Canis lupus familiaris: one gene and its partners. The protein of the gene in region 2 interacts with the protein of the main gene of each other region in a pairwise test. Links are inferred from orthologs where the notes say so. Each region holds a gene or a part of one and is shown on either strand. Other genes may lie near its edges.

Region 1 (4,028 bases), on a different chromosome or scaffold from region 2:
GGAAGGAGACCAGTCCTTTTCTGTTTTCCCTGGGGGCGGTGAGAGCAATGTTTATTGGGGAGGAACAGGGCGAAGCAGCAGATGGGGCTTTCCTGGTAACTTTCGGGGGAGGGAGTGGGGTGCGGAGAGGGGAGGCGGCTGCACTCCTCGGCCCCCGCCCCAAGCTCTCCTCCCGCCGGGTCTCTGCGGGGCGCCCCCCCGCCCCCCCGCAGGCCCCTCCCCGGAGCGCTCTAATTCCTCGCCCGCGGTCGCCGGCCAAGCGTCCCCGACCACGCCGCCTCTCTGCACGTCTTCCTCCGCGTGCCGGGATCCGGGAATCCGCTGGGCTTCGGTTCGCCCCCGCCCGGGAGCAGCCCGTGTCGCCTCCGTCCTCCCGGGACCCTCCGCCGCCTTCCCCCGTGGCAGCCCCCGCCCCAGCCCTCGGCGCGCCGGCGGGCTCTCGCGCCGTCCCCCCGCTCCGTCCCCCGCGGCCCCGCCGGCCCCTTGGGTCTCCGTCGGAGCGGCCGCTCGGGGCGCGCGGTGGTGCCGGCGGGACGGGTCAGAGGTCGCCTGTGGGGCTCAGTGGGCGCCGGGCTCTCTGTCACCGACGCGTCGTTTTCTGCTCGCTCTTCCGCTCTCTCCGCCTTCCCAACCGGCTGTCAGTTTGAATTGCCGGCGCCGCGCACCGATTGGGAGAACTAGAGCTCGCCCGCGTCCCGCATTGGCCGGCTCGGGAGGCTGCAGAGATCTTAGTGGCTCGGAGACCGTAGGCCCCGCCTCCGCAACGGTGCCGAGACCAGCGCGGCTTCTGGTTGGCCGAGCTTGGCTCCGCCTCTGCGCTCATTGGGCGGCGGCCAGGCTGGGCCCGCCCTCCTGCCGCCCCCGTGGAAGCGGCGAGGCCCGCCCTTCGCGCCTCTTATTGGGAGGCTTCCCACAGGGCCCGCCGGCCTCTGCTCTCCATTAGCTGCAATTCTCCGCAACGCCCCTCCTCCCTGCCCCGGTCCAATTGGTCGTGCTTTCCCTCAAGAGCGTGTGCTTGGCTGTTGGTTCCCTTTTAATCCCGCCCATTAATTCTACCTCGGGGCTCGGCGGCTCTGGGAGGAGCTTACCCTGTGACCACGCCTCCGCGGGGCTAGTCCCGCCTCCAGGTTTCGCCAGCTCCTCCCCCCATTCCCGTCCTCGCGGGATCGGCCATTCCTATTGGCTCCCGGGTCCATCGGTCGATAGAAAGTGGGCGTTGATTGGTAAGGGGGCGGGCTCCGCTTCCCGGCGGGGTCCTGCGGAGTTGGCGGAGGCTCCTCTGGGGACGAGGGGACCGATCTGCGTAGAAGCGGGTGGCGGGGAAGAGGGGAGGAGATCTCCGAGTGGGAAGCGGAGCCGGGGCCCGAGACCCGTCGCGTCAGAGCCAGGTAAAGGCTCCTTGCCTCTCCCCTCGCCTCCTGCGGCCGCGGGGCTGGAGCCCTGACTGGACGAACCCGGGCAGGGGCGGGAAGGACGGGGCGCGGATGCTGCTTGCGGCGTCGCCCAGCGGTGCCGCCCGGAACCCCTCTGACCCCCCCCCCCCGACCCTCTCCGGAGCTCCCAGGACAGCCCGTGATGCTGTCGCCGCACAGCGGGGCTCTGCCCTGGGACCGTGCCTCCGCGCAGCCCGCACCCGGCCCGCTCCCCAGCCCTCCGCGCGCGGGCAGCCTCGGCCACTGCTGGGCAGCCGTCGCCGGCGTCACCCGTAGCCATCGGCTGCCCGCTCGCCAGCCGCCTTACAGCCGGGACCCAGCCCCCGGCCCGCCTGGGACGGCTCCTTTCACGCGCTCGCGCTCGCAGACCCGTCGCGGGGCCCCCGCGCTGCCCGCACTCCCGCCCCTGTAACGCCGCGGCCCCCCGTCCCGCGCTCCCCCCCGCCCCGGCCGCCCAGGCCGCCCTCCCTGCGCCCTCTCTCCACCCGCAGGCGCGCGCCGAAGCTCCCGTTATCCCCGGCTCCGGTGCAGCCGCTGGACCCCACCTCACACCCCTCCCCGCTTCCTGCCGGCCTGAACCAGCACGCCGCCCGGGCTCCCTCCTCCTCCCCGCGCGGGAAGTGGGAGCCCCGGCCCCGGCGGGAGCCCCCCCGCCCCCCGCCCCCCGCCGAGGAGAGGGTAAGGGGCGACCCAGGAGGGAGGGGCGCCTCCGCGGCACGGTGGGGAGCCTGACGGCCGACTGCGCTCCCGCCGCTTCCCTCCCGCCTCCCGGGCCTGGGCCAGGGCGGGATTTCCTCCGGCACCTCCTGGTGCGAGGAGTCGGGACTGCGACCCTCCCAACACCCCCCCCCCCCCAGCCTGGGTCTGGGTGCGGTATTCGGGTTGGCCGGGCACAGTGACAAAAAAATATTGGGGGTGGCATTTAAGAGTCGCTCTGGTCCCTGGCTGGGGGGAGGCGGTGGCTGCCTCCCGTCCCCCGCCTCCGGGTTTTCCCGACTCCGACCCTAGCCTCTAACCCGTTTCCTGCTTCTGTCGACCACATTGTTTTCCTGGATGTGCCCCGTGCCGAGCAGGCTTTTTCCTGCAGGTCTCCTCCCCCCCCCCCCCCCCCCCGCCCCAAACATTTTGCTGCCAAGAGAAGCTAGTAACCAAAAACAAAACAACTGGGAGGAGGGGCGGGAGGGGAAGAAAAGTTGTGCCCGGGTGGCTTGTCCCTCCCTGGCTTTGATCCCTTTTGATGTCCTGGGAGTTGCCCCAGCCCGGGGTCAGGGGCCGCGTCGGAGCCACTGCGGAGGGTGCTCCCCGCGGCTGGCCGCTCCCCAGCGCTGGCGGGGCTCGGAGGCCGCCGAGGTGCCGCAGTCCCCGCCCGGAGCCCCGCGTTCCCGCCGCAGTCCCCACCCGAAGCCCGCGCAGGCGGCTGCTCCAAAGTGTTTTCTTCCAGCCCTAAAACAAAATCCGGAGGGAGCTTCCTTCCTCCGCACCTCGCCGCGCCGGGCTCTGTGGGCCGGGCGGTGTTTGGCCGAGATGAATGGGCCAAGGCCCGGCTCGGAACGACGTCCCCTACCCCACCCCCGCCGCGCTTAGGATCTGCGCTGGGGCTCATCGCCCCCTCCCCTTTTCCCTGCATTTACAGGCAAGTGAACCGGAGCAAACGACTTCCGATCCAGTCTGCGCTGCTGCGGCTCCCGTTTGGGATTTGATTTGCAGCATCTTCGAGCCTGTGCAACAAAAACCCGCGAAGCACGCCCAGCCCTCCCCCGGCACCCTTTTACGCACCCACTCCCTCCCGGGGACACAGCTGGGCGCGTCCACACCCCCGCACCCCCCACACCATGTTGTGCGGAAGGACTTCCACTCCCTGCCTCAGTCGTTGATGTCAGACCCCGGGCCAGCCTCCGGGCGCTGCAGTTCTCCCGGCTAATGCTGAGGCTGCGGCTCCGGCTCTAGCACAGAAACCAGCTGCCGCCGCGCCCGGCCCCAGCGTCCACCGTCTGCATGTGCCCGCCGTAGCCTTCAGCCCAGCCCGCAGCCCGCGCTCCCCGGAGCGCTGGAGACCACCGCGGGGGGCCCCTTCTGCCCTTGGGAGAAGCGGTCTTGGAGGTATTGATTTCGGTGGTTGGATTTTTCCCGTGGATCTATCAATTCATAATTTGAATTTGGAAGAAAGAAGGAAAACATGACGTCTCCAGCCAAATTCAAAAAGGATAAGGAGATCATAGCAGAGTACGATACTCAGGTCAAAGGTAAGGGCTTTGAAAAATTGCATGATGCATATGCTCTGTGGACCATTGAGGCATGTATTTCCACCCTGATTTGCAGGATGTTCATTTCTCTGGGTGGAGCAGGTGGGGGCAGGCTGAGCCCAGAGGTGGTTTCATAGGTGGGTTTGAGCCTCCAAGGGATGGGCTGTGCCAGGGGCCACCGGCTCTGGAAAGGAATTTTTAGAGTGGGCTGTAGGTTTGTTCTTGTAAGGGCTGGCCCTGATTTTGGCAGCCCTCTCCCACAAGCTAGATAGGGTGGGGGGAGGGGCGGGAGGTTCTTGGGGGAGAGAAAGGTGGCAGTTTGCCTCTGGGTGTCTGGGTCAGGTTTCCTTGA
Region 2 (3,500 bases):
TTCTTTTCATTCCTGGTCCAAGTTTTTTCCTCATACCCAGTTACCTGCCTTCTTTTTTTTTTTTAGTTACCTGCCTTCTTAGTGTGGCTTAGTGGTTTATATTTTCTTTTGTAATTAATATTGGATATTTGTTACAAGTTATCATGTTGCTTCCCAGTTTTATTTTGGATTTGACAGCTTCCATATTTCAGGAAATTTAGAATCAATAGTCAGAATCACTTAGAAAACAATGATAAGGGGATGGTGGTTTGTTCCTGTTTTGCCTGGAAAAAAACATACAGTAATTGCAAATGAAAAAGAAAAGAAAGAAGACAAAAGAAGGAGCTATCTTATGGATATATAGTCTGTGCTCATGTGGTCATGGCTCTTCCACATCCTGTAAGTACCAATTGTACTACAGTTATGAATTAGTTCAGTGTATCCTTCAAAGACTGGTATATCACTGCTACCCTCTTGACTAAGGTATTACACAGGTGATTATGCTTTTTTTTAAGCCTTTTACAAAAACGTAAGTATAGAAAATTTTTATAGCTGGTAGAATTGGAGGTGTCAGAAATGGTAATATGTCAACACCAGTGATACAATGTGGGGCAGAACCCTACTTGTACAATCTGGGGAAATATAAAATACTAAGAAATGGTCCCTAACCTTGATAGAGAGGCAAGTGTATCTTCTTGAAACACTGTGTAAAAAGGGAACATAAAGATAGAGTGATACACTAAAATAAATATGTAGATGCATATCAATCTTTGTTACTCACCTGTCAAAGGGATTTAGCAATATTTCATCTTATGCTTCTTTTATACATTTAAATAATATGAAGAGTTACTCTTGTTTTTCACTTTGTAGGCCAACATCCAATCAATCATGGCCTCTGAAAAGCAAGTGAACATTCTGATGAAGTTGCTGGATGAGGCTCTAAAGGAGGTAGATCAGATTGAGTTGAAACTGAGCAGTTATGAGGAAATGCTCCAAAGTGTAAAGGAACAAATGGATCAGATCTCTGAAAGCAACCACCTAATTCATCTTAGTAACACTAATAATGTAAAACTCCTCTCTGAAATAGAGTTTCTCGTGGTGAGTATTTTGTAAATTGCCACCTCCAACAAAAACCAAAAAAATCTAATAATATATAAAACCCTATTGTAAACATTTATCAATTTCCTTATGAGAGTAAGATTTAAAATAATTCCAAAGACCTTATGATAGGCTTGAGTAGCATGTTACTTGTAAATTTCCTGAAATCACATGTGCAAATGGTATATTTATATATATTCTAGAACCACATGGACCTGGCCAAAGGTCATATAAAGGCCCTTCAGGAAGGAGATCTTGCTTCTTCTAGAGGCATTGAAGCCTGTACCAATGCCGCTGATGCCCTTCTGCAGTGCATGAATGTAGCTCTTCGTCCAGGTATGTTCATTAGAAATGATAAAATCTGACCAAGGATCTGAGACTAAGCCTGTAATTTGCTATAAAGCTTTTAACAAGAAATAACGTGGGGCAAGTGGTTTAAGGTGACTGTAGTATTAGGTCCTCAAACTAGTTTCACTTCTTTCCGAACATGCTTCTTTTGGCACTAAGAACTTTTTCATTTCAGTTCCTATGACTGATCATCAGTGACTCTAGTTAACACCATGATTTTTCTTTAGTACTATGCACAGACCTTGCACAAAGTCAGTGTTTTGATTAGACCAGAGAGCTGAGGTTCTGTTAGGTCAGTCATTCCAAAAACTTGAGTTTGCTCAGAATCATGGAGAGGGTTTGTTAAAACACATATTGCTGAGCCTCACCTCCAGATTCAGTAGGTCTGGGCCAAAGCTCTAGTATCCACATTTCCAACAGTTTCCAGATAATGCTGAGGCAGGACCACACTTTGAGAACCATTGTGTTCTACCATTTTCTTCTCTTGCTTACCTTTTTTATAAAGCAAATGAATAAATCAATAAAACTTTGGGTTCTTCAAAACTGAATGAAATATGGATACTATTATAAATGTATTCATTGAAGATCAGAGAAATCCTTTTACCTATTAAATCAGTCAAGAAACGTTCTGGTTTCAGGCCATGACATGCTGCTGGCAGTCAAACAGCAGCAGCAGCGTTTCAGTGATTTGCGTGAGCAGTTTGCCCGGAGACTGGCCAGTCACCTCAACAATGTTTTTGTTCAGCAGGTAATTTTATTTCATTAATAAAAGTGGCATGTTTCTGTAGCTTTTTTATATATTACTTTAAACTTAAATTTCCACAAAAATTGTAATGTGTTTAATTGGGACCACAGTATATTCCTTCACACATTTATCCAGTTTTGAGATTTTTAAGTATTTACTCATAGATGTGTGTTGGCCCTCAACTGCTTCCTTAGTTAGGCAGTCTAGTTCCTTGCAGCTAAAACTGTCTGATTCTAGAAATCAAATAAATCAAATAATTATGCTTACTTATTAAATATACCATTTATATGTTCTTTATTTATAAAAGTACATCCAAACTTGTTACATATTTGCTACTTGGCCTATTTTATTTTTCAATATTTCGAGATGAGAACCAGAACTTGATTCAATATTTTAAATGTTTCATTGGCTGTATGTATTTTCATATGAGAAAAATAAGTATCACTCAGTTGTTAAGTTCTATTTGATTTAATTTTATATAAACCCTTTGTCTACATTTTTATATGGAAAAGGAGGTTGATAGCTTAGGTTGTGGCAATAATATTAATAATATTAAGAGTACTTTAGCAGGACTTGAATAGAAGGTATTTTAATCTGGCATAAGGATTAGGTTTCTTATGCTTTTCATCTCTTATTAAGGTTATTGAACAAAAAAAACTGCGAAATTTCGTTCATCAAGAAATGCTGTCTGAAACATTGAATTCTTATTTTGTTTTCGCTTTGCAGTATTCTAAAACAATTGTATTTACTATATTTTATTTCCAATTAGTTTACTCAGGCCCTCCTTCAACTCTATAACAGGTCCTACTTTCTTTCGGTGCCTGTGAGTACATCAAATTTGGCTCAAGCTTCTCTGATTTTTTTTTTTTTTTTTTTTTTTGGTCTATAAAGTTTGCTAAACTTAACAGCAGCAGAATCTTTATAGATTATAACTTTACTGACTTAAGCTGCCTGTTAACCATATTTATAGCAGTTTTTTAATGTCCCATAGCAAAAAGGTTATTTTGGCCAAAAAGGCATTTCATGTCCTCTGCTTGCCTCTCTCTTCCTGTCGTTCTTTCACTCACTCCTTCATTTATTTAGAAACATTTTACCACGTGATTGGGATGCATACCACCCATTTTCTTAGGCTAGGTGAGGAGCTGATCCTGTCCTCCAGTGCCTCACAGTCTAGGAGAGGGAGGTAGATATACTTAGGAAGGGTAAATATTATCATAGTGGTCACATGCGCGAACATAAAGGAAGACCATCTTAGCTGAGGGTGTGAGGGAGACACTGGGGAAGACTCTCTTTACGTTTCACTTGACCTGAAAAATATCAAGAAAAAAGT
Region 3 (3,500 bases), on a different chromosome or scaffold from region 2:
TGAACTGGAAAAGAGACACTGAGAAAGGCAAATATGTCAAGAATCTCTTACAAAACCCACGTTAAAAATAACAAGGACTTGAACCAGGGCAGAGGCTGCGGCTGTGAGAGGGAGGTTAGCTGCAGGACTATGAGGATGAGAGAGGTGTTGAAGATGCTTGCAATTTCTCTAAAAAACTGAACGGATGCTCTTAATTAAAATCAACAAATATATGTACCAAGACTAGGGCCCTTTAGAACAGGTTTGCTGGGGAAGACAATGACATCAATTTTGAACACATCTAACTAGAGGGTTCTGTGCATCACCTGGGAACAGAGCCCTGTCTGCATATCCAGCCTGGCTTCACAATCTCCTTGAGATATAAATCATATGGCTGGGGTCCCCAAGGGCTGGCACAGGGCAAACAGGGACAGGGCCAGGAACATCAGGCCACACATAAAGATTTGAAAGTAAATGAGATGCAATTGCTGGAATGAACATGACCTTCACATTTTCAGGTATTTCCACCAAATGCCTGATGAGTAGCTGTTCTACTTCCTTGTGGATGTGTACAAATGTCAGCACACATACACACACATCATATGCACACAGAAGGAAAATGCAGTCACATAGCCCAATGGGTCAGCCACAAAGCATCTCAGGCTGGGTTTCTCTTCGGATTTTTTGGAGGTAGAACAACCCTGCCTATTCACAGTTGTAACCACCTCTCTGATAACAGGGTGCACAACACACTCATGATGCCAGAGTTTGCATGTATACAGCCCCCCCTAGCTTCCAAAAGCCCTTAGCTTCTCACTGCAGCCACAGAAAATCCCATGCAAGGTTACCATCTTTAAATAAGGAAACTGAGAGCCTGACCAAAGTAATGACCAGGAGCAAAGTCTCCTGGCTGCGTCAGGCAGGGCCCACTGAGCAGGATGAAATGCAAGGGCTGCAGGAAATGCAAATGAAGCTCAGCCTCACCCCCAATATGGTGCGTCAATCTCCATCTTCACACCACTCAACCACAGGCCAGCCAGCCCCAGCTCCCCTGCCTCTGCCCCCAATTCCCTGTTTCAAAGCAGAGCTGGGCAGAGCTAACCACACATCACGTAGGCCAGGAACTGCAGAGGAACCTGCTGCTCAACACAGAGCAAATCTGAGCATTCAAGTGACAGAGAAGACAAGAACAAGAACAGATTTGTGTGCAAACAGAAAGAGAAGAAACAGAACTACGGCAACATCTTTTTGCCGTCAGTTACAAAAGGAGCTGCTGCAGCTCCCAGAGGGAAGTCGGTGGTCAACCCCAGAACTACTCATTTCCTGCCTTCTGCCCAAAGCTGGCCTGAGCTCGTGACACTCGCGGGCCCCCAGAGGCTGGGAGACACCAACCTCCAGCTGCCTCCGGTCGCTCAGCAGGCAGTCCAGCAGCACAGGCTCGCACCTCCTGAGCAGCGTCTCCCAAAGGTGAGCCTCCCCCAGGCTGCTGCCCTCAGACCGCCAGGGGCCTGGGGAGCAGGAGGAGGCAGTGTCCGTGTCCAACAAAGAAAGCATGTCACACTCCGGCCTGTGGCTGCCCCCTGTGGTCTGGGCAGAGTCCGCCAGGCTGGGAATAGTCTTGAGAGTGAAGTGGGGAGAGAAGAGTCGAGGATGTTCGTGGGGCCTGTCCATGCTGGCAGCCTTCACTTCCGCCTCCTTGGGGCTCTGACAAGGGGTCTCAGCCTCTCTGGATGGCAGGCAGCCTTCAGCTTCTCCACGTTCCCCAGCAGAGCCAAGTGAGAGCCGTATGAAGCTAAAGCTTGACGTAAAGGCATCCTGAGAGCCAGCAGGGGTTGGGGGGGCCTTGGGGACACTTCCAAGGCTGTAGCTGCTGCCACTTGCCTCCTCTGGAGACAGACAGCCTTTTGTCCAGGTACCGCCTCCAGCAGCATCCCGGCCAGGACCTGGAGCCTCAGAACTGTCCATGGATGGGAGCTCCCCCTGCCACCCAGTGTCCCCAGGGCCACACGACCTGGCTGGCCTGGCAGGTGGCTTGGTGCCAGCTCTGAGCTGAATCCCAAAGAGCCCCGAGGGCCTTCTCACAGGGGTCAGAGCCAGGCCTAGGTAGCCCCCAGAGGTCGGAGCCGAGGCTGCTGTGCTCCTAGGAACAGGGCTCCCAACCGAGGGGCCTCGCCACTGGCCTCCAGAATCAAGGCCACACCGTCCGGCCCTGGACTCAGACTGGTGGGACTCCTCACCGCACGCCCCTCCCTGGGCCTGGAACGGAGCGGCCACTGCTGGGTAGAGGAACCCGATCCGGGGCCCAGCTGCACTTCTCATGTAGCCCGGCCTCCGTGCCAGCCGCCTCCTCCGAAAAGACGCTGCAGGTGGTATGCAATCCTGGCTGCCTAGGAGGAAAAGAGAAAACAGCACCATCAACACGCAAAGCTCACTGGCTCAGCTGGAACTGCATTTGGAGAGCATCTTAGGTTTAGAGGTCGCCGCTCTGTGTATCTGTCAAAGGGAGATGCTGGCTCAGTGGTCACGGGGCCAACCCGGGACGAAGATTCTGACGATCTTCTCCAAGTGTTTGCCTGGAATGCACAGAAGAAACACAGCGTCTCCGCTCTTCTGTTTAGCAGAGCAGCTGGCGTTGCTGTGAGTTATGCCAGCATGTCAACATGCCCACTGGAGTTACAACCTCGCCGGCTCCTTCTGAACCCTCTGGCATCTTGCCTATTGGGCTCTTAGGCACCGCAGCACTTTTATCCCAGAGTGGGCCTGAAAGCAAACAATTGGGAGGCAAATGCCAGCACACTCCTCAAAACAAGATCCGATCGCTTATTCTAGCTCCTTATTGAACAATATGTGAGTTTTCATTATCTGAGCTCTCCGTGTCCCAGCACGTCTCTGGACCATGGAGAGCCAGCTGGGGCACAATTTATGGCCATCAGTTCATCTCTCACAGTGGACCACGGGAGGCCCTGCTTGATGTGCTCAACAAACCAGGGACTATGTCCCCCTCGAGCTCTGCAAAAGGAATAGAAACAATAAAAAATGCTGATAGCTCTCAGGCAGGATTGTATAGCAGTTGAGAGCAGACTCTGGCACCTCATTGCCTGGCTTAAGCCCTGGCTGTGCCATTGCTGCCTGTTCACCTCCACAAATTACTTAACCTCTCTGTGCCTCAGCTTGCTTCTCAGTAAAATGGAGACATTACCAGTACCTCTCTCGCAGGGTGAGACTTAACTAAATGAGTCACTAGAGGTAGACAGCCTACAACAGGGCCTAGCACACATAAGTGTGCTGAAGATGTTAGTTATTATTTCTCTATTGCACAGCACATTGGTACTCAGAATATGGGCATCATCTACATTAATTTCATTTGCTCCCTACCAAAGTTATGCGAATCAACCAGACTAGGAAGTATAACTTCCTTAAAGGAACTTCCTGTTCCTTCTACAGTTAAGGAAACTGAGGCTCAGAGAAATTGGCATTCAGAAACCCCTGCAAGTGACTGAGTGACCAGCATCACAGTCTCC
Region 4 (3,500 bases), on a different chromosome or scaffold from region 2:
CTTGGAGTTGTGGGATGCAGCTGTGTGTAGGGCTCCTCAGTCAGCAGGAAGTCTGCTGGAGATTCTCTCTGTCCCTCTTCCCTTGCCTACCCAAATAAATAAATAAATAGTTTCTTTTTTTTTTTTTCTTTTTAAATTTTTTTTATTTAAAGATTTTATTTATTTATGGGAGACACACACAGAGAGAGAGAGAGAGAGGCAGAGACACAGGCAGAGTGAGAAGTAGGCTCCATCCAGGGAGCCCGACGCGGGACTTGATCCCGGGTCTCCAGGATCAGGCCCTGGGCTGAAGGCGGCGCTAAACCACTGAGCCACCCGGACTGCCCTGTTTCTTTTTTTTAAAGTTGCATTATAAATGGTGACAAGAGAAGAGGCTTCTATCTAAAAGAGTAATTCTTTAGAAAGGTATAGTTTGTCATATTTAATATTATGTTAAAAACTAACATTTTTCATAAAGTTTCATATTACATGAAACCATAAAATGATGTAGATATTCTTTATAGTAAGTTTGACAGTGTTCTATTTTTAAAATATTTATATTCAGAAAAAAAAGTATAGTAAATCATTTATTTGTGTATCTAAAACTTAGTTTAAGATTCCGTAAGTCATGGGGCACCTGGGTGGCTCCATGGTTGGGCATCTGCCTTTGGCTTAGGTCATGATCCCAGAGTCCCAGGATCGAGTTCCACATCGAACTCCCCGGAGGGAGCCTGCTTCTCCCTCTGCCTGTGTCTCTGCCTCTTTCTGTGTCTCTCCTGAATAAGTAAAATCTTAAAAAAAAAAAAAAAAAAAAAAAAAAAGATTCCATAAGTCAATATAGCAAAATAAATTAGGTCTTGGTCCATGACTTTTGAAACAGTCATTTTTATAATGACATGCAGAATTGTTTCATCAGAGTTCAGGAACACTCAACAATAATGAATATCGAAGTTCTTCAGAGGAGAAGCTATTTGGTTACTGTTAAAGAGGACATTTTAATTTCACTATAAGTTTATATTATCCTTGGGTAAAATAGTTTCTCTATACTTTTGTCATGACCTAGGGCACAGTGTGGTGGGAAGAATCATTCTCTTCATTAGTAGATATTAAACTGTTTTCCCTGTTTTAGCAGGTATTTAAGGTATTAATATTAAACATCTGATGTAAAATCTGTACATTTTTAAAAATTTTGTTTACTTTGTCATTCTACAGGCAGTAGGATATAGTTGTATGCCCAATAATAAAGATGAAGATGGGCTACTGGTTTTAGTTTTCAACAAAAAAGAAACAGATATTCGAAGCCAGCAACCGCAGTTGGTAGAATCATTGCATAAAGTTTTGGGAGGAAACCAGACACTTACTGTAAATGTAGAGGGTATTAAAACATTGCCAGATGATCAGTAAGTATACGTTAAATATATTTATTTCTGTGTGCCTTGGTCCAAAGAGAGTGATCCAACAGCATTTTTGTTGATAAAGCACAAATTAAATCTTAAAGCAGAATGTTATCACTCAACTAGTGATTATTCAGTATTTATAGCAACATTTGTTTAAAAGCTTCTTTTCTTAATCTTGGAGTTCATTTTTTTTTCTTGAATTTTTTTGTTTTTTAGAGGTGGGAAAGGCAGAGGGAGAGAGAATCTTGCAGGCTCCACGCCAAGTGTGGAGGCCAGATGCGGGGCTTGATCTCACATCCCTTATATCTTGACCTGAGCTGAATTCAAGAGTCAGACATTTAACTGGCTGAGCCACTAAGGCGCCCCTTAATCTTGGAGTTCTTAATTTATCAGATGCTAATAATTCTTTAGATTTTTCATTCAGAAACAGGAAGAAACAGTAATCATGGCTGTGTATACAAATCAAAGGCCACAAAGATGTTACTGGAAAGTTTTAACTGATGACTGTTTATGCTCCTTAGTGAGATATAATATGTGAGATAAGCTTCAATAGGATCTCCAAAGTACTTCTCAATTCTGGAAAAGATAGTAATGTTTACATAGGACTTTGCAGCTAAGCAAACCTTTTACAAATATTAAAATGTCTGTCTCATTTTAATTTTATTGTTATCATTTAAGTTGATTTGTAAGTGAACATAATATTAAATAAGTAAAGGTTCCTCATTTTCCAAGATTTAAGAAAATACTCTTTTAATTCTCTTCTAAAATGACGATTTCTGAATTCAGCTAGCACCTTTCTGAAATCACAGCTGCACTGTTACTGAGTTGTATCTGTGAGTTGTGTGCTATTTTATAACTTGTTTATTTTTCCCCCAGGACAGAAGTTGTCATTTACGTTGTTGAACGCTCTCCAAATGGTACTTCAAGAAGAGTTCCAGCTACAACACTATATGCCCATTTTGAACAAACTAATATAAAAACACAGTTGCAGCAACTTGGTATAACCCTTTCTATGACTAGAACTGAACTTTCTCCTGCACAAATCAAACAACTTTTACAGAACCCTCCTGCTGGTAAGTTTTTAGTCACAGAGTTGAAATGAAATATTTAGAAATATATAAGCTTCCTCTATTTTGGAATGTATTAGTTGATTATTAATAAAACCAGTGTTTATTATGTCTGCTAATTTGGGACAAAGTTTTAAATGTTTTTATCGTATGTATTCATTTAGCTTTTTTATTATATAGCTAATATGTTTGTTAGAAATTTTGGAAAATAAACAAAGAAAAATGGTCCATAATCCATCTACCCAAAGATAATTCACTTTTAATATTTTTATTTGTTTCTAACTTATCTCTTGTTCTGAGTATTCAAGTAAAATCTAAAAAATGTGTTCTTACAAGGGGTACCTGGGTGGCTTAGCAGTTGAGCATCTGCCTTTGGCTCAGGGCGTGATCCCAGGGTCCTGGGATCGAGTTCTGCATCGGGCTCTCCGCAGGGAGCCTGCTTCTCCCCTCTCTCTGTGTCTGCCTCTTTCTCTGTGTCTCTCATGAACAGATAAATAAAATCTTTAAAAAAAAAAGTGTTCTCATTGAAAAGGATTATAGATGGCATAACTAGATGGACTGTATTACAGACCCTTTATCTCCTTTGCACAGAAATAGCTACTACTAATGATTGTACTCTATTAGTCCTTTATTTTTTTTATTATTTTTTTAAAAGATTTTGTTTATTTATTCATAGACACACAGAGAGAGAGAGAGAGGCAGAGACACAGGGAGAGGGGGAAGCAGGCTCCATGCAGGGAGCCCGATGTGGGACTTGATCCCGAGTCTCCAGGATCACACCCAACGCTGCAGGCGGCGCCAAACCGCTGCGCCACCAGGGCTGCCCTCTATTAGTCCCTTATCTGTGATTTTAATATAACATATATATATATGGAAATCCTTTTAAAAAAAGGATTCTGCACTGTACATCAATTGCAACTTGCCTTTTCAGCTATAGTATTTCTTAGTACTTCCTTTTTTTTTTAAATTTCTTTTTATTGGAGTTCAGTTTGCCAACATATAGCATAACACCCAGTGCTCATCCCATCAAGTGCCCTGCTCAGTGACCATCACCCAC
Region 5 (3,500 bases), on a different chromosome or scaffold from region 2:
AAGCTCTAGAACCGTATTTTCAAGCTCTTTTTTAAGTTTGGCTTCCTGATCCAGTAATTTCTTCTTTAACGTTTCTTGCATCTCTTTTGCTTTCTGCTTAATTTTTTCCATCTTTTTTTCTTGATTTTTAAATTTGGTTTCGTATTCCTCATGTAAAACACTAAAACTGTCCTCCTTGGCTGATAATTTTTGTCTAAGTGTTTCAATTTCTTTGCTCTGTCCTTCTCTCATTTGTAAAATTACATTTTCCTTTTCTATCAAACTCTGTTTTGTCTGTGCCTGTTCTGTGCTAGTATCTTTAAGCTGGGACTCATAACATTGGGTTAAAGACTGTAGTTTTTCCTCCATTTCATTTTTCTGTCTTTCAAGTTGCTGCATTAAATCCTGCAACTGGATTTTTTGAGTGTCTAACTCAGTACAAACATCTTTCTTTTGCATTTCAACTTCAGCTACCTGTTTAGTAAGAAGAATTCTTTCTGCTTCCAAGTCCAACAACTTCTGCTGCAATTGTGCCAAGTGCTCCTCTGATGCTTTGGCCTGCTCATGTGTAGTACTCTGCTGTGACTCAAAGAGAGCCAACTTAGCAGATGCCTGCTGGAGTTCCTCTTCAGACCTTCTAATATCTGCCTCTAAGTTTTCCACACGTACCTGATGCTCTTTCAAATGCTTGTCCTTTTCCTTCAGAAGAAGCCCAAGGTGATTAATTTCATCTTTTAGTGCCTCTTCAGTTCTCTGGATGGACAGCTCTTGTTCTTTAATGATACTGTCAACTTGCTGCTGGTGATGGCTTTTCTGTTCATCTAGCTTGGCCTCTAGCTCCTGTTTTACTTTATCTGCTTGATTCTTTAGTACAGAAAGCTCCTCTTCTAGCTTGTCCCGGGCCTTTAGTACCTCTGACAGTTCAGAAGACAATGATTCCAGTTCTGTTTGCTTCACATCAAGCTTTTCTAAAGTCTTTTCATTCATCTCTTCTATGTGGGCCTGGAAGACACTCTCTTTGTCTTTCAACAATGTTTCTTTTTCTTGTTCATGCTTTTCTCTAAGTCTTTCCATTTCAGTCTGATGCTGTTGCGTTAAGACTTGGAGTTTTTCAGTCCAAAGGGTATCCTGCTGATGCTGCAAGCTTTCTAATTCTGTTTTGTGTTTTTCAACCATGATTGTAATTTCTTTATTGTGCTTATTTTTTTCAGCTTCCAAATGAATAATTAAATCCTCAGATTGATTTTTGCTTTCTTGCAAGCTTTTTTCCAAAGAACTTTCCAATTCAAGAATTCTCTGTTAATAAAAACAGATGTATTTTTTACTAAAGTACAGATTTGTTTATTAGCAATGATATATATGACAACACATGTAATGATATATATGACTACACCTATAATAACTACACCTGTTTAAAGATTAAAACTTAGAAAAATAAGGCATTATATCATGCCAAACACTAGAAAGCACAATCTGTGCTCAATTCCTAAAGGAATCACATAACAAAGAAAAGATTCTATTTTAACACAACTTAAAATTTCAGATTCTTTCTACCTATACTTTAACTATTTCAGTCACCCATGTTTTCAAGAATATTCTGAATGGATAGTTAAAAAGAAATACATCGTAAAGTAGATAATAGTAACTATGGATAGTAAGATGGTTATTTTTTTTCTGTGTGTTTTTTAAGGCCTAGAATATATTCTATTACCTTCATAATTTAATTTTGGAAGGTAAATAATATATCTGGGTTTTCCACTGCAAAATGATTATTTAGGAGATATCTTTTGCAAAAAGAAGCTACTTACACAAATTTTAGCAAAGATTACTGTTAGCTCATGAAAAAGTCAATCTTGACTCTAAAGCAAAAAGAGCTAAGTAAGGCAGAGGCATGCAACATCAAAACTGAAAAGGTCCTAAGGAATTACCAAAACCAATTTCTCCATATGAAGGTGAACAAATTAAGGTATAATTAATTTACAGGGCAGCCTGGGTGGCTCAGAAGTTTAGTGCCGCCTTCAGCACAGGGCCTGATCCTAGAGACCCGGGATCGAGTCCCATGTCGGGCTCCCTGTGTGGAGCCTGCTTCTCCCTCTGCCTGTGTTTCTGCCTCTCTCTCTCTCTCTCTCTCTCTCTGTGTGTGTCAAATAAATAAATAAATGGATGGATGGATAAAGAAATAATCTTTAAAAAAAAAAAAAAGAATAGGTATCACCATCCCCCAACCCCCACTTAAAAAAAATTAATTTACAAAGCTAGCAAATGGAAAAATCTAGACCTCCTGAGTATCCATTCCCCTCCATCATGCCACATTACATAAATGTCGGCAATGGGAAAATAAAGTACAGTTTAGAATTATGGGGAAAAAGTGTGATTCTTTCACTGTTTAAACCAAAGCAAAAAGTCTAAATAACATCAGTCAATTTATTCAAAACAGGTCATACATTTCATATACTGCTGAGGGGAGGGCCTAAAAATGTGTACCCTGAGACATATATATAAATTTGTTCACTATAGGATATGTTATTAACATGGGAAAATTGGGGGAAACTTTATGTTAAAAGCAGGGCATTGGGGTGCCTACATTGTGATAGAAACAGAGAATGAATCATGTCCATGGCATGAGATGAAGCCAGGGCAAATGCTGCCTACAAAGCGAGGCCATTTCCTACAGATCAAGGGCAAGTAAACAATGGAGTGGGGATGCAAAGCCCAAATGCAAAGATAGTGAATGGCAATAGAAACACCTCCAGCAAAAAAAAAAAAAAAGAAACACAGCCAGCTAAAGGCAGAGTCAGCAGCATCATGTAGCAAACACTAAAACCACTCACAGAAAAAGCTCTTATTATCTAAAAATGAAGTGCATGTATGTAAATCTAACCCAGTAAAACAAAAGCTTCTTGACAACTTTATATTGATTGGAAAGATAACAATAGTTTCTATACAAATAATTCCACAACTCTGGAACCTGAATATTATTTAAACTTACAGTTCTGTAAGTCTCTGCTTCTTGCTGAAGGTCCCGAAGTTTATTTTCACTCTCCATGAGGATTGCTTTCTTCTGCAACTCTAACTCTTCCAGGGCCAAAGATTCTTGCTGTTCTTTTTCTTGGGTGATCTTCAAATATTCTGATTGACTTTTTTCCTGTGCCAAAAAAAAAAATACCACCTTAGACCCACATAAATCTTCAGCATTCTCAAAGTACTTCCACAGGAATCAGGTCTTTCATTTGATCTGCACACCAGCTCTATGAGGTAGGCAGTATCATCATTTCTCTCTTCCCAGGCTCTAGTGTGCAGAAACAAAGCACTGTGGCTTTTCCAGTGTGATCTAGCCAATATTTGCCACAATTACTACTGATAAGAAAAATTTTGTTCTAGTAACCCCACTACATCTGCTATTTTTCCACTACTTAAAATGTTTTGCAAAACACGCTTAATGTGAAGGCTCCCAAAATTGTCACTGCTACTTCTCTCCACTCCAGAGTTTGATTATTTCAACTCTAAGCCAAGAAACTAGA
Region 6 (4,122 bases), on a different chromosome or scaffold from region 2:
CCATTTATATGAAGTTCAAAAACAAGCAAGATTACTCCATGATGACAGACATTAAAACAGGGCTCACTTTTCTGTAGGTTAATGACTAGGAGGCAGCACAAAGGAGCCTGCAGGGATGCTAGAGATGGCCTGTATTTTGATCTGTGTAATGATTACACAGGTATATACATATGTAAATATTCTTCAAATGATAGATTTGTGAACTTTTTTAAAGATTTTATTTATTTGAGAGAGAAAGAGAGAGTGAGAGCACAAGTAGGGGGAGCAGCAGAGGGAGAAGCAGGCTCCTCATTGATCAGGGAGTCTGATGTGGGGCTTGATCCCAGGACCATGACCTGAGCCAAAGGCAGATGCTGAATCGACGGAGCCACCCAGGCACCCCTAGAGTTGTGTATTTTATTTTATTTATTTAAGATTTTATTTATTTATTCATGACAGAGAGAGAGAGAGAGGCAGAGACACAGGCAGAGGGAAAAGCAGGCTCCATGCAGGGAGCCCGACACGGGACTCGATCCTGGGTCTCCAGGATCACACACCCCAGGCCAAAGGAGGCGCTAAAGGAGGCGCTAAACCGCTGAGCCACGCAGGCTGCCAGAGAGTTGTGTATTTTAAAGTTACAGTCAATAAAAAAGGGGAAAAAATTTCATATTGTTTTGAGTATCTATCATCTCATTAGCTTGAGGATGATACAAAAACACACATTTGTTACTTTTACCTCCTGAGATGCGGTAGAGTAACTTTTCTCTTGCATATAACTTTCTTAATTGTTAAACTTATTTGGAAATAATTTCAGACTTAGAATTCCCACATACTCTCCCTAGCTTCTCTAGACGACAATCACAGCACAATGATCAAAACCAAGAAATGGACACGAGCTCAATAGTTTAACTAATCTACAGACCTTATTCAGATTTTAAGTATCCCACTAACACCCATTTTCTGAACTAAGATCCATCCAAGGACAATCCATTGCTTTCCACTGCTGTATTACTCTGGGTCTTCCAAGAAGCAGAAGACAAGATAGGATTAAGCCTACAAAAATTTTATTAAGAGAAAGGTCTGTGTGAGGGAAAATGGGAGGGAATAAACGCTGGAAGCTTTTCAGATTTCCATGCAAATCTGACACTGAATGAATGTCAGTGTCATTCAGTCACTGAATGTCAATGTCAGGGAAGGTTGGGTAGATGACTGCCATGCAGTCTAAAGAAGATTCGGTAAGATGGCGGAGTTCTTAAAGGAAAGTCCCTTGCTTCTCAGGAAGAGGTCCGCCTCAGTGCCCATGCCATTCTCAGTCATTGGCCAGAAACAGCCTTTGGGAAGCATCCATGCAAATGGGTTTCAGAATATACAGAAGCTGAGGTCTGTGAATTACATTCTCATGGTTGTTGAAATTGTCACCCAGTTATTTTGTAGAATGTCCCTCCACTGGGATTTGCTTAATCTTTTCACATGGTTAGACTAAGATTACACATTTTTGGCAAAAACACCACAGAAGTGAAGATGTGATGATGCACCCTTTCTCGGCACATTAAATTATGTTAAGGTGTCTTACTACACTGGTGATGTTTATTTTGAACCGTGGTTAAGTGGTGTCCACAGTTCTCTCCACTTTTATAAGTACCCAGAGAGACAGTTGAGGCTATATATAAATATCATGTTTCTGATTATACCTTTGCTCCTTCGTATCCACTGAGGGTTGTCTGAAGCATTAACTACAGCGTTTACCAAAAAGCATTTTCTTAAAAAAAAAAAAAAAAGCATTTTCTATTTCCATTATCCCTTTTACATTTATCAACTGGAATCCTACTGTTAGGGAAGCATTTCCCCGGCTCCTCTCTTATTTGTTAAATCATTTTAAGTTCCGTGTATTAATATTATCCAATAACAGAGAATACTAACTTATCTTTCAAGATTTTTTGTCCTGAGGATTAAATGGCACTTGGCATTTCGTAACCACAAAATACTAAGAAGATGTGTGTTCAAGACTCATCATGACCACCGACAAGCAGGAAGACACTGGAGAAGTCTCAAATTACTATGGCCTCATTTTCTTAAACTACATAATGGGAATCATAACACCGTCCCCAACAGGTTGTCCTGATGATCACGTGGCTTAATGTGAAACTGCCAAATACTCAGAGTGTACCCCGATGTTTTAAAAGCTCAGTTTGCGGCAGGGCTAACTACCGGACAAATTAAAGGTGAGAGACAGCAAAAAAAGAGCACGCTCTCTGCAAGAAACAATTCCAGGCAGTGCTCTCCAAGGGCTCCCAGCTTTCAGGCCACGTCTGCGGGGGTCCCGGGGGAAGGGCAGGCAGGAAGCATCGAGAAGCGCCTGCGGCCGAGCTCCCTCCGAGGCCCGCGGGGCCGCCCCGGGTCAGGAAGCGCGAGGGCCTCGCGCGACCCCCACCCCCGCCCCGGGAGGGCGCGGACGGCCACACGCGCCTGCGCCCGGGAGCAGCCCCTCGCAGCAAGCGGCCGGTGTGCGTCCGCGCTCGCCTCCCCTCCCCGCACGCTTCCCCGACCGCAGCCCGCCGGGGCCGGCCGGGGCCTCAGAACCGCGGGCCTCTCGGCACCGCTGCCTGAGGAGCACAGCCCCAGCTCCTGGCTCCGGGGACCTGTGCACGCCCCGGCGCTGGCAGCCGGCGTCCGCCACTCACCCGAGTACCAAGGGCCGGGAGTCAGGAACCGCAGCTCACACGGAGAAGGCCCCTGCGCCCGCGGCCCTGCAGCTCCCCAACCGCCGTCTGTGCGCCTGCGGGGCAGCCATCGCCGAGCGCCCGTCACTTCCGCCATTCAAACGGCCCGCCAATGGCGGGGCCGAGCCGCGGGCATCGGCCTGGTCCCGCCTCCCGCGAGGGCCGCCGGGAAGGCCGCGCCGGGGGGGGGGAGGGGGGAACCCGCGCATGCGCCAACCCCTACGTGCGGGCCCATTATTCCTCGCAGCTCCCCGGCTGGGCTCTCAGGTGTGCTGCGGTGCTGCCTGCCGTGCCTCAGCTGTGCTCCGTTACGGATCGGGAGACGAGGTCCAGAAAGGGGGGATATTGGCCCAGAGCGTTGGCGACGCCTTTGATTTTAAGCCCTATTAGGAAGATGCCTCGGCATGTGTATCCCTTTGTGCACCGACTCTACAGTTCATTCGGGGCCGTTATCCTGTACTTAGTGTCCCATGGCCCTCAGGAAGGGTCCAGCTCGCACACCGGTGAATCAGATCGTGGCACTCTGTGCCTCCGGAGAGCCAGTACATCTAGAACATGTCCCAGGTTTACTTGCTACAAATAACCTGGCATCAGAAGGGGATGAGTGCAAGTTCATATTTATTGAACAATTATCATGTGCCAAGCACGGTGTGGGAAGTGCAGGGGAGACGAGGGTAAATGGACTATCCAAGCCCTATCGTAGATTTTGTAGCCTGGAGGTAAAACATAACAAAAAGAAAAAAAATTAGAATATGGGGAGTAGGGAAGACAGAAGTTGCTGACATGATCAGATTTGGCTTCGTGGTGGAGAAGAGGCCAGAGAGGGTGAAGGCTGAACACTCAAGGCAGGGAAACCAATTAGGAACTACTACAGGAAGTAAAAGGTGATCGCAACGAGAAATGGAGACAAGTGGGTATATTTAAGAGGCAAAGAAGGCCAAACATCAGAAATTGGTGGTTACCTGGTTATGGAAAGCAAAGGAGAGGGAGAGATCAACCATGACGCCTAAGTTTTATGTTTGGCCGCTGAGTGGATGGGGGTAACGTCCTGCTAGAACTCAGGAAGAGGAGCAGGTTCAAGGGGGGAAGTAATGAGTCAAGCTTTGAATATTTGGAATTTGAGCTATTTATGGGACATCTAGACAAAGGAATTGTAGAATATTTAGGGGGCAAAATTAGTAGTGCTGGCTAAAGATTGCATGTGAAGTTGAAGGAAAAGTTGAGAGTGAAGGTAACTTCATAGGCCACCAACAATGTTAATGGTGGTGCCATCAACCAAGGGAGAAATCAGAAGTCAGTGAAGTGGGCAAGGTGATGAGCTCAGCTCTGGACGTGTTGAATTTTTCTTGCATTGTGTGATTGCAATAAGTGGATGACTACAATGGTAGACAGCCCACAGAATCGTGCTAGCATTTAGACTTGG
Region 7 (4,206 bases), on a different chromosome or scaffold from region 2:
GTGCCTAATAGGGCTCAAATTTGTGCTGACTTAAATTTCCATCAGTACGAATAAGATTTAATAGGTTATATGTGAGAACACAAATAACTGTAAACATGGATCACATTCAATGAATACTAAATTGAGAAAACCTCCCTGATGGTTGAAAATGGTGATATCTTACTTCTTTTCTTGCTGTAAATAAAATATCAATGTTTTAGCCTTAACCCCATGGTCTCTCTCAAAGGCTAGCCCTTCTAGTCTCCAAGAAATGCTAGGAAACCCTGAGTGGGACATAGTTGAGGCCTGGACACCATCTTTACTCCCCTGCCTGATCCTTGGGCTTGCAGCTCAATGATATGAAAATCTCCCTACAATAATCCCGAACTCCTGCCCTACCCTTTGCATCCCAACCAAGCAAATTATTTAAAAATTAAAAGTGAAATTTATACACATCTCCTTCTTTCTAAGCAGGGTGGCTTAACATTATTATAAACATCTTTTTCCTCACAAAGCTTACTTTCTCGTGTGTGCAGAAGGAAGCAATAGATAAATACGAAAGTAACAGTGAAAATATATAGCATGCCAGCTAGCAGTGTCTGAGGCTAGTGGCAGCAACTGTATTTAGAAGGGTTTCACTGCAAAGGTAACATCTGAGCAACAATCTGAAGGAAGCAAGAGAGTGAGCCGTTGGAAGATAGGGTTTTGGGTAAGACTGTCCCAGGCTGAAGGAACATCAAACGCAAAGGTCCGGGGCCCGAAGCTGTCTGATGTTCTTTGAGGGACAGTGTAGCTGGGGAGGAAATGAGGTCCATGAGGCCAAATGTGAACAGGTCAAGCAGGTCCTGGTGGACCATTCTAGGGACTCTCTAAGAAATGTGGGGGACGATTGGAGGGTTTTGAGCAGAGAAGTGGCATACCTAAACCTAAACGTTGTTAAAGGACCCTTCTTGAAGCTAGCTTTGGTGGGGGCACCGTCCAAAGAGACAAGAAAGGTAAGTCTGGTGGTAACAGGTGCCTCAAAGCTTGCAAAGACGACTACTGAAAGGGGGAAAGGGTTGACTCCTGGACAAAATGCCTGTGTGGTGGTTGGGAGGATGGGGTTACCCTGGGTTACGCATCTGCCTAGCTTTCAGGCCTAGACGCAGAGACCTCTGGTCCCGCTACTTCAGCCGCAGGTCCCTAGCTCCAGGGGCGGTCAGGACCCGCAGCTTTGTTGCCGTGGCGACCACAGGATTCGACCCCCACCCCGCCGCCCCCGCGCCACACCACTCCCGGGTCTCCTGGGGCAAAACACCCGGTCCTGCATCTGCTCCAGCGAGGACTCATCAGTATTCCACCCGCGGAGTTCTCCCCGCCCCCGCCGCGAATCCCAGAGCCCGCCAATCCCGCAGCTCCAGCCTTGGCTGTTCTGAGCCTCCCCACCGCCCCCACTTGGTCTCCGAGGACCGCAGCCGGATCTGCCCCGGAGCTCTCCTGGCAGCCCCCCCCGCGCGGCGCGCCTCTGCCCAGTTACGCAGCGCTTTCGGGCTCGTTGGCGGCGGCCGCAGGCTGCGCCTCCGCGGCAGAGAGGGCACCCGGGAGACCCGTTCTAAGGCGTCCCCGCAACAACTCTCCGGGGATATTCAACTCCCCTGCGCTCGGTTTCAGGTCCTCCTGCGCTTCTGCAGTGCACCAGACGGGGGAAGCAGATACAGGAGAACCTGCATTGCGCCCCCGCTGGGATGCACGGTGCGCAGAAAGGGGACCTTCTGCTGCAAAGCCGGAGGATCGGGGGCGCGGGGAGTCAGGGGTGGGTTTTCGTAGGACTCACCTTGTGCAGTTTCCACATGGCCCCCAGAGCTTTGACTTCGTGGCTGGAATGTTTGCCCTCCTCCAAGCACTGGTAACACACGGGCATCTTGCACTGCACGCAGTACATGCTGTGATTCTCCAGCTCGTGGTCTGTGCAGGTGGAGACCTTGCGCGGGCTCAGCCGCCGGCTCACGCGGCCCTGGGCCGGGGGCACCAGACGGTGTTTGGCTAGGGGCCCTCGGGGAGGGTGGCAGCGCAGGCGGCACGGATCACAGTAGAAGACATCGCACTGTTCGCACATGACAGTGGCCTCCTTGGGCGCCTTCTCGCAGAGCTGGCACTTGAGGGCTGCGGCTTTGCTCTGCTGGTAGCGGTCAATTACCCCTTCCAGGACGCGGTTCTTGGGGAAGCCGCGGAGCCCCCGGTCATCCAGTATGAGGCTGCGGTGGCACTGGGGGCAGGTGATACAGGAGTTGCGGGGCACCGGGGCCAAGGCCGGTGACAGGTGGGTGGCCGGTGGCGGCATAGCCGGGGGGAACACGCGGACGCCATTGGGGGACTTCTGGCACGGAGTAGTGGGGGCACTGGCGAAACCCCCGTAGGAGCCATAGCCGCTGTCCGCCTCGCTGTACAGGCTCATCTTGTCCAGGTCCAGATAGTCATAGTCGGAGACCCCGGAGCCCGAGGCCCTGCGGCTCTGGGGGGATTCAGACTCCGGGGTCTGCACCAGGATGTTGCGGGCGCACGCTTGACATAAATTGTGAGAGCAGGGCAAGATGATGGGCTCCCGATAGAAGGAGCCGCACACGGGGCATTTTAACTCTTCTTCCATCTCTTCCATGAGGACCGGGCTGGGAGCGAAGCAGCGGCGGCTGCAACGGTGCCTGAGCGGGCGAGGCGGCCGACCGGCCTGTCGTCTCCAGCACCTTGGCCAGCGGCGGCGGCGGCGGCGGCGGCGGCGGCGGCGGCGGCGGCGGCTGCGCCTTCCCGCGTCGATCAGGCGCCGATCCCCGCCAGGCGCTCTCCCCGCGAGCCGCTCTCTCTCTCTCAGCCGCGGACCCGCGACGCGGCGCGCCAGCCGCGGACCGCCCCCCTCTGGTCCCGCCCTGCCCCGTAAGCCGCGGCCCATTGGCTGGCGGCGAGAGGGCGAGGCTCTGATTGGCCGCGCGCCCCGTCCCTCTCCTCTCTTCCGCAGGCCACGGGGGCTTTGGTAGCCGACGCTAAGGAGGAGCGTCTCCGCTCCCGGCTGCAGGATCTCGGGAGGGGGCGGCGTGCGGAGGCGAGGGACCGGGAAGGAGGAATTAGGCGGGATGACTCATCCCTCGCCCCGCTTCCTTCCGACCTCCGGCGCCGTCTCCCAAGAGCAGGGGGCGTGAGAAAGCCCTCCCCGCAGCGAGCAGGCCCACGGAGGGGGCCGGGGCTGCTCGCCAACCGTCTGCGTTTGGCTTCCAGCCCTGGTCCCCGCGCCGACCTGTACCGCGGGCGAGGGCCGCGCGCCCGCCAGACCCCTCCTTCCCTTCCGCTGCCCGCAGCCTGCCTGGGCCCGAGCCTCCCCCGGGCCCGGGGTTTTGTACCGCCCGGCCCCGGCGCTCCCCATCCCGGGAGCCTGCAGCCCCGGGCGGAAAAGCCCCCAGGAAGGGCCTCTTTGCTCCTTTCACCCTCACTGCCTGAGGTCTAAGAGGGGAATTAAGAATACCGATTTCTTAGTGTTGCCATGAGATTGCAGCTAGGTGACCGATGTAAATAAAGGCTCAGTATGGTAGCTAAAAAAAAAATCTCTAACTCTTCATTTCCCGCTTAAAAATCAGGCTCGGCCCAGAGGCTTCTCCGGGCGTGGTGTGAACCTAACGGTGTGAACGTGCCTGTCTCCCCTCTTCACCCTCCCTGCCTCCCAAAGCGGTGCTGTCACGGGGCTCTCGCACCTGGCCGAGCTTTCGCAAGGTTTGAGGCAGGTCAGGCAGGGTTGCCTATTGCTCAGCGCCTACAGTTCAGTAACTAGCTGCAGACGAATCACTGTGTCACTGCGGAGTCTCAGTGTTTGAATCCAAACAGCATTATACAGTGTCACGTGGCCTGAGCATTTATCACAGCTTCAGAATGGTGGGTTCTTTCTGTTTCCTCCTTTGAAGTGCACGGGGGTCCTCGTGGAGGGGTGCAAGTAGGGGGATGGGGGCTAGATCTAGGGGTAGTCCTCATATATTAAGCACCCTTCTCCCTATCCCCAAATATTGATGGAGATATCTGGTCCTGCCTCTCGCCCACAGAACTGTTCATTTGATGATGGAGGAGGAAGAGGAACTCCCCTCGCCCCTCCAAAAAAAAAAAAAAAAAAAAAAAGAAAAAGAAAAAGAAAAATCTTTGAGTCAAGTGACAGTGACATTCTGAGATAGCAGCCTATTTGAAAGAGTACGTGGCTGCCTTTTGCTGAGTGAT

The links.
Region 1: the proteins of EXOC1 (region 2) and SRGAP2 interact in a two-hybrid assay, tested with the Homo sapiens proteins (2 studies listed by BioGRID and IntAct). The link is inferred for Canis lupus familiaris from reciprocal best matches to the Homo sapiens genes EXOC1 and SRGAP2.
Region 3: the proteins of EXOC1 (region 2) and DISC1 interact in a two-hybrid assay, tested with the Homo sapiens proteins (2 studies listed by BioGRID and IntAct). The link is inferred for Canis lupus familiaris from reciprocal best matches to the Homo sapiens genes EXOC1 and DISC1.
Region 4: the proteins of EXOC1 (region 2) and NUP54 interact in binary tests that used the Homo sapiens proteins (3 or more experiments, as listed by UniProt). The link is inferred for Canis lupus familiaris from reciprocal best matches to the Homo sapiens genes EXOC1 and NUP54.
Region 5: the proteins of EXOC1 (region 2) and GOLGA4 interact in binary tests that used the Homo sapiens proteins (3 or more experiments, as listed by UniProt). The link is inferred for Canis lupus familiaris from reciprocal best matches to the Homo sapiens genes EXOC1 and GOLGA4.
Region 6: the proteins of EXOC1 (region 2) and CEP295 interact in a two-hybrid assay, tested with the Homo sapiens proteins (2 studies listed by BioGRID and IntAct). The link is inferred for Canis lupus familiaris from reciprocal best matches to the Homo sapiens genes EXOC1 and CEP295.
Region 7: the proteins of EXOC1 (region 2) and TRIM9 interact in a two-hybrid assay, tested with the Homo sapiens proteins (2 studies listed by BioGRID and IntAct). The link is inferred for Canis lupus familiaris from reciprocal best matches to the Homo sapiens genes EXOC1 and TRIM9.

What each region holds. Positions count from the first base shown.
Region 1 is NC_049259.1:3,089,612-3,093,639, forward strand, and holds the start of SRGAP2 (SLIT-ROBO Rho GTPase-activating protein 2), read left to right. Parts: upstream 1-1,228; 5' UTR 1,229-1,388; intron 1,389-3,066; 5' UTR 3,067-3,609; coding exon 3,610-3,676; intron 3,677-4,028. UniProt on the Homo sapiens protein: Postsynaptic RAC1 GTPase activating protein (GAP) that plays a key role in neuronal morphogenesis and migration mainly during development of the cerebral cortex. Regulates excitatory and inhibitory synapse maturation and density in cortical pyramidal neurons.
Region 2 is NC_049234.1:48,896,399-48,899,898, forward strand, and holds part of EXOC1 (exocyst complex component 1), read left to right. Parts: intron 1-849; coding exon 850-1,077; intron 1,078-1,280; coding exon 1,281-1,413; intron 1,414-2,063; coding exon 2,064-2,173; intron 2,174-2,939; coding exon 2,940-2,993; intron 2,994-3,500.
Region 3 is NC_049225.1:8,197,899-8,201,398, forward strand, and holds part of DISC1 (disrupted in schizophrenia 1 protein), read right to left. Parts: intron 2,367-3,500; coding exon 1,372-2,366; intron 1-1,371. UniProt on the Homo sapiens protein: Involved in the regulation of multiple aspects of embryonic and adult neurogenesis. Required for neural progenitor proliferation in the ventrical/subventrical zone during embryonic brain development and in the adult dentate gyrus of the hippocampus.
Region 4 is NC_049253.1:39,421,719-39,425,218, forward strand, and holds part of NUP54 (nucleoporin p54), read left to right. Parts: intron 1-1,191; coding exon 1,192-1,379; intron 1,380-2,252; coding exon 2,253-2,449; intron 2,450-3,500. UniProt on the Homo sapiens protein: Component of the nuclear pore complex, a complex required for the trafficking across the nuclear membrane.
Region 5 is NC_049244.1:7,424,008-7,427,507, reverse strand, and holds part of GOLGA4 (golgin subfamily A member 4), read right to left. Parts: intron 3,125-3,500; coding exon 2,969-3,124; intron 1,276-2,968; coding exon 1-1,275. UniProt on the Homo sapiens protein: Involved in vesicular trafficking at the Golgi apparatus level. May play a role in delivery of transport vesicles containing GPI-linked proteins from the trans-Golgi network through its interaction with MACF1. Involved in endosome-to-Golgi trafficking.
Region 6 is NC_049242.1:7,153,158-7,157,279, forward strand, and holds the start of CEP295 (centrosomal protein of 295 kDa), read right to left. Parts: upstream 2,801-4,122; 5' UTR 2,797-2,800; coding exon 2,661-2,796; intron 1-2,660. UniProt on the Homo sapiens protein: Centriole-enriched microtubule-binding protein involved in centriole biogenesis.
Region 7 is NC_049229.1:27,693,587-27,697,792, forward strand, and holds the start of TRIM9 (E3 ubiquitin-protein ligase TRIM9), read right to left. Parts: upstream 2,801-4,206; 5' UTR 2,615-2,800; coding exon 1,793-2,614; intron 1-1,792. UniProt on the Homo sapiens protein: E3 ubiquitin-protein ligase which ubiquitinates itself in cooperation with an E2 enzyme UBE2D2/UBC4 and serves as a targeting signal for proteasomal degradation.